2 linked regions of the Ovis aries genome follow. The protein of the gene in region 1 purifies or fractionates together with the protein of each later gene. This does not show direct contact. Links are inferred from orthologs where the notes say so. Each region holds a gene or a part of one and is shown in the gene's direction. Other genes may lie near its edges. The genes, in order: KIFBP and KIF14.

Region 1 (3,822 bases):
CTGAATACATAGCTAAATAAATACTTTTAAAATGTTGAACCTGAAGGTTTGTCTGAGTTGCTATAATCTCATGCTAAATTTTGACAGCTGAGGACTTGATTCTTAGGGATGAGCAAAGAAAGTGGTTTCTTGAGATGGTGTCTACTTCAGGTGAAGATACTGTGAAAATTGTTGAAATGACAACAAAGGAGTTAGAATATTACATAAACTTGATAAAGTAGTGGCAGGGTTTGAGAGGATTGACTGATTTTGAGAGAAGTTCTACTGTGGGTAAAATGCTATCAAACAGCATTGCATTCTACAGGAGACAGTGTTCCTGGAAGAAAGAGTCCATCAGTGCAGCAAACTTCTCTGTTGTCTCTTTTTAAGGAAGTGCTACATCCTCCCTACCCCAGCCTTCAGTAACCAGTACCCTGATCAGTCAGCTATCATCAATGAGGCAAGACCCTCTAACTAGCAAAAAAGATTATGACTCTCTGAAGCCTTAAATGATGTTTAGCATTTTTTTTAGCAATAAAGTATTTTTTAATTAAAATGTGTACATTTTAAGACAATGCTATTGCATACTTAATAGACTACACCATAGTGCAAACCTTAACTTTTATAAGCCACAGAAAACCAAAAATTCATGAGACTCATTTTATTGCAGTGATCTGGAACCAATCTTGCAATATCTGAGGTGCTTGTACTCAAAATTTAATGTATGTGGTAACCTTAGTTTCTACCTGTAGGTGATACAAAAGAAAAAAACTAGAAAGAACCTCTGGGTGGTAGGAATTTTGGGTGAGTTTCTTGCCGCTGCTTCAGGTAGGACTTGGTATTTTTATAATCAAGAGCGATATAAAGAAGAATGGTGTACACAGTGAAAATTACAGTTGTGACCATTGGCTCACACAAGTCACGTTGTACCTTTTAGCTACGGAAGCTGAAGGAGATGTGCCAGAGCTTTATCACCAGAGGAAAGGGGAAATAGCAAGATGCTGGATCAAGTACTGTTTGACTCTCATGCAGAATGCCCAGCTTTCCATGCAGGTAATACGGTCAAAAGTGATGTTTTCTGTCTTAAAACAGTAGGATGTAAGTAAAAGCTTGAAATGGGAAGTGTGCTCATTGGGCTCGCTGCATGTGTGTTATTCGTGGCGTGCGGAAAGCTTATTTCTTGCTTTCCCTGTCTCATCCTGTTCAAATCTTACTCTTCCATTAAGGCTGTCTCAAACAGCACCTCTTGCTTCAAGACTTGCCATTGGATAGAGCATAAGCCCCACCAGAGGGGAGTCTTCATCATATTCATACTATTTACCAATTTCTAGACGTAACAGGTGCTCAAAAACTATTGAATGTATATACAGTTCTTAAACCCTACGGATCTCTTCTCCCTCAAGAGCCCTCCCTAAGTCACTTGACTTTTTATTATTGTTACTCATATTCTTATCTTATTCCTTTACCTCTTCTTAGACTGTAAGCAACCTGATGGCAGGAAATCTTACTAATCTTTATATACTTTAGACAGTAAATATATATGCTGATAAAAGGATAAGTATGACTGTATCTGGAAACAGCCCTGCTAGTTGGTGGCTGTGTCTGTGTGGCAGTTAACTTCTTGTCTCAGTTTCCTCACAAGTAAGACGGAGATAATAATAGTACTTAATAGTGTTCCTGTGAGTTAAATATGTATAAAGGGCTCAGAAAGTGTCCAAGAGGTAACTAAGTCCTCAATCACTGTTAACTATCATTGTTGATACCATTATTATTAATCCATACTTAATGGATTCTAGTTCCTAATCAGAGCTCTGGTGGCTCAGATGGTAAAGAATCTGCTTGCAATGCAGGAGACCCAGATTCTATCCCTGGGTCAGGAAGATTCCCCTGGAGAAGGGACTGGCAACCTGTTCCAGTATTCTTGTCTAGAGAATTCCATGGGCAGAGAAGCCTGGAGGGCCACAGTCCCTGGGGTCACAAAGAGTCAGACACGGCTGAGAGACTAACGCTACAGAGAAAAACAAATCATTTGGATGCATATTCTCCAGGAGACTTTCCTGGAGGGGTTTCATGCCTCTTTTCTGTTTACATGCATTAAAGTTTAACCATTTTTTACTAGTAAATATAGAACCTTGTGAAACTACTATACAGAATAAAAGCAAACAAACCACAAAACCCCAGAAGCAGGAGTGTTTCAAAGGTGAGAGCACTTTGGAAGTCAAGGGTAAAGATGAGGCATATTTGGAAAAGGAAGGGTGTGGGGAGAAGAACTCGGGAGTCTTATGTCTAGAGAAATTGCAGCCTGGAAGATCTGTCAGCATTCTTCTGGTCAGAAAGCAGTCTAAAAATTGTGTAAATAAAGACGCCACCAGGAAGCACGGTAAGTAAACAAGATTAGAGGCGTAGGCCTGCATTTGAAGTGATTGTGTCAAGCAGAGTGCCCTGTGGCTTACTCTTGCCATTCCTTTAGTCTGTGCTTTCCAGACTGGGCACTGGAATTTACCACTTGCTTGTATGGCAGTCCACTCCAGTACTGTTGCCTGGAAAATCCCATGGACAGAGGAGCTTGGTAGGCTACAGTCCATGGCGTTGCAAAGAGTAGGACATGACTGAGCAACTTCACTTTACTTGTTTTAAACTCACATAGTGACCACACTGCTAACTTACTCAGATTTCCTTTAATCTGGCTGTTACCTTAGCTTCATCCTTTGATCATCTGCTTACCTGAAAAGCCTTCTTTAATTCAAGTTTAATAACATATACAAATTTAAGTATTTATTTCTGACAGGTTTATAGTAGTCATTGTACTATGATGAACAAAAATAGACCTAGTTTTTTATATCATATGGAAGTGCAACTTTAGTAAGTTCCACAAAGGAGAGACACAAGATATAAAAAGTCACAATGGGAGGAAGTAACATCTGAAGGAAGCTCTGGGAATGCGTAGGAATTTCTAGACTGGAGAAAAAGCACAGCATTCCGAGGAGCTGAAGCAGCATGTTGAAAAGTTCTGAGGTGTAGGGAGCATGGTGGTGGAAATGATGGAGCAAGGCCTGTGAGGCTGGAGCAGAGAGAGCATGTGTGATAGAAGACCGAGTTAGAGAAGGGCTGGAACATGCCGGGCCTTCCGTAACTGGAAGCCTTGGCGAGGGGTGGGAGGGTTTGGACTGATCACTCGGGTGGCAGAATGGAGGATTGAGGGAAGGCAAGCGTGGACGAGGAAGATTACTTAGGTCACTGGAACAGTAGGGGTGAGATGTGAAGGGAGCTTGGGCTAGGATGGTGGCAGAAGAGATGGTGGAAAAGAGTGGGTGCAAGAGGTTATTTAGGGGGCAAGACAGAAAGGATTTGATGATAGACACGAAGTGTGGGCTAAGAGAGGAGAGAGACATCAAGGATGATTCTCCCGCATCGGCTGGCTGTCCAGATCGAGGGAGTGACCTTCACTAAAATAAGAGTCGAATAGGAACCTGTTTGTGGAAGAGGGAGAGTTCCATTGTGGACATATTGAGGATGAGGGGTCCTAGTCTCCCCAGAGGAGCAGGAGGTATGTGAGGCGGTTTAGTTCTGGGTCTGGAGCCTAATAAGAGCCTGGTGTACCTGAAGATTTGTGGGTCCTCCTCCTGTGGATGACAGTTGCAACCATGGGCACAGATGGAGACAGCTGTGTAGAGCTGTGCTGAGCAATAGAAGTAGGAAACGAGCTACTTAGGTCACTTTAAGCTTTCTAGTGGCTACACTGTGCTCAGTGCTAAATCGCTTTAGTTGTGTCCAGCTCTTTGTGACCCCATGAACTGTAGCCTGCCAGGCGCCTCTGTCCTTCAGATTCTCCAGGCAAGAATA
Region 2 (2,592 bases), on another chromosome or scaffold:
GCTGTCTGGAAGTGTCACTTTGGCGTAGATGTCTCGGGTCACATCCCCTGGGGAGGGATGGCGAGGTGACCACCTCTCCCCTCTCCTTGCACAGGGCACCGCGGGGACGTGGCCCTCCTCCAGGACTGTGTGCAGCGTCTCTGCAGCTCTGCCCGGGGTCTCCATGGCGACCGGGCTGGGTGCCCTGAGGACAGCAGAGCCCAAGCCAGCCGCCGGGAGCTGGAGTCCCGCGCCACCTCACTGCTCTTGGGCTTTGAATTTGAAGAAGGACTTGTTTTGTGGGGGCCCTGGGAAGCTTGCGATCAGGGTCCCAGAGCAGCAGAACAAGAGCAGCCCAGGTCGGACAGGCCCGGCCCCCAGAGGACCCGAGGAGTGCCCAAGCGGGTGTACGAGCTCCCGGGCCCGGCCCTGGGGGGCTCAGAGCAGGGTGTGCTGCCCACCCGGGAGAGCGCCGGGGAGGGATCTCCTCCCGCCCGAGAGCAGTAGGCCTGCTCCAGAGCCAGCCGTTCTGTGGGCAGCCTGCTGCTGGGTGTGGACGCTGGTTCCAGATGCCTGGATGTGCAGCCGCGATTCCCTGCAGACGGTGAAAGGCAGGTGCTGCCCGTGCCAGCTTCGTGGCAGTCGGCTGGAACTGGGATTCAAGACTGAGCGAGCGGTCCTTGTCGGCTGCCTGGAGGTGTTGACGGTCGCCTTTAAGGCGAGTGTGCGGCCTTGGGCTGGCTCACTAGCCTGTGTGTACTGGTCCTTATGGGGCTGTGGTGACTGATAAGTTACTTCCTCTAAGTGGACGCCTTCATGCCTGTATCTTCATTCCCTTGCAAATACAGTAGCTACGATGAGTTTTATGGGGAAGCTGCCAAAGTAAGTCTAACCAGGGCAGCTTAACCTGCCTTGTTAATCGACAGCCCTTTTCTTGGAAGATTAACTGGTTGCCATTCTGAATGGTGTGTTCAGGACAGTTTCCTGTTTCTTTGCAAATTATGAGTAGCTTCCTAATATAGTATAATTTATATTAATAACCTGGTTTGCTGCCATGCCAGCTCACTTCTATCTGCCAGGGGTTTCATGTTAGGGGCTGTGTGAATGTAACTTCAAACCGATTGAATATTAATTCAACTGTTGGATGGGGTTGGGGAATCAGAGGCCAGGTCTTCTCTTGATAACTCTAGTCTGATGAAGGCACATGGAGTTTGTACATGATTTGATGAAGATTTAAGACCTTTATTATATCTCTGAACTTAAAAAAACCTTTATCTACAATCAGATAATAGAGGTAATATTGCACTTTGGGGCTCATCCCTCAAGGAGATCATTTGACATTTCAGCTGCCGAAACGTGTGTAAATTGAAGAGATACCCAGTGACCTGGCGTGAGTGAGGTCGAGCAGGTCTTGGGCAAGAATTATTTTGAGTGCCCAGATTGCCCCTTGTCCCCCACACGTGCAGACATGCTGTGTGTGAGCCCGGCACGGCTGTGGGAGTCGGTGCCGGGGGCAGACTTATTCTCACGCGGTGACGGGTTCTTACTCATAATGCTAGTGAACCATGTGTTTTCAGGTGCTTTAAAACGGTGCAGTTTGAAAAACGTGCTCTTGTGTTTTCTTCTATTTCTGGCATCTGAGTTGCATTTGCTCTGAGGGCCCACACGCGTCTGTCATAGCAGTGCTCTGCCAAGGGGCTCTGTGCTGTCAGGTTTTAGGGAGAGCAGGAGTGCAGGCAGGGCCTCTCCTGAAGGCTGTTCCTCCTGGAGGAGCTTCCCACGGTAGTGGTGTGGTCGTTTTTAATCTTGATGCTCAGTGTTTAATCCTCACTTTCTGCTTTCTAAACTCAGGACTTCACTGGTCAGAAACCTTTTAGTGTCTTAAAATTTTGTATGTACATATATTTATACTCTGGATTGTTACACAGTATTTAAACCAACTTTGGTAAGTATATTTTCTGTTGGAATCATGTGCGCTGATGAGATGTGTTGTAATAAATGGATGCCTGTGAAAAGTCGCATCTGGGTCACCCGTCACTCCCAGGTCCCCGTCACTCCCGTGTCCACGGGCCCCTGCCCGCTCTGCCCCGCACCAGCCTCCAAGAGACTCTCCTTAATCTCTGAGCTCATCTCCTGGCTCCTCCACTCAAGAACCGCCTCCAGAATGACGCCCAGTCTCACGCGGCTCACTCCCGCCGCCAGCCTCGCGGGGCTCAGTGGGCGCTGGCCGCGCGGGCCCGTGCCCCCGGCCTCGGGTTGGTGACACGGGAACCTCCCTCCGCCGCCGCCGCTGTCGGGTCCTGCCCGGACCCCAGATCTGGAGGTCTCTCCGTCTTGTTCCCTGAGTGGTGGTGACAGGCGGGCCGGGCCCCGAGACGCCGGGAGACAGCGGCCGCGGGCCTTCGGGAGGGGACGGTGGGTCACTGCAGCGGTGCGGCGCAGTGGCCGGTGCCGGGCCGCAGGCCCCCCCACCCACAGGTTGAGACGGGCGAGGTCCGGCCTGGGAAGCGGCGGGAGGTTGGCCGGGTCTGGGCGGAGTGAAAGCCGCTGCAGGAACTGCACGTGCGCGCCTGCTGGAGGTGGGGCCTGGGGCGGGGCCAGGCGGGAAGGGCG

The links.
Region 2: the proteins of KIFBP (region 1) and KIF14 purify together in Homo sapiens (affinity purification with mass spectrometry; 3 studies listed by BioGRID and IntAct, counting the BioPlex papers as one, with this or other methods). This does not show direct contact. The link is inferred for Ovis aries from reciprocal best matches to the Homo sapiens genes KIFBP and KIF14.

Annotation. Positions count from the first base shown.
Region 1 is NC_056078.1:24,533,408-24,537,229, forward strand, and holds part of KIFBP (KIF-binding protein), read left to right. Parts: intron 1-916; coding exon 917-1,032; intron 1,033-3,822. UniProt on the Homo sapiens protein: Activator of KIF1B plus-end-directed microtubule motor activity. Required for organization of axonal microtubules, and axonal outgrowth and maintenance during peripheral and central nervous system development.
Region 2 is NC_056065.1:78,650,808-78,653,399, reverse strand, and holds the end of KIF14 (kinesin-like protein KIF14), read left to right. Parts: intron 1-94; coding exon 95-486; 3' UTR 487-1,997; downstream 1,998-2,592. UniProt on the Homo sapiens protein: Microtubule motor protein that binds to microtubules with high affinity through each tubulin heterodimer and has an ATPase activity. Plays a role in many processes like cell division, cytokinesis and also in cell proliferation and apoptosis.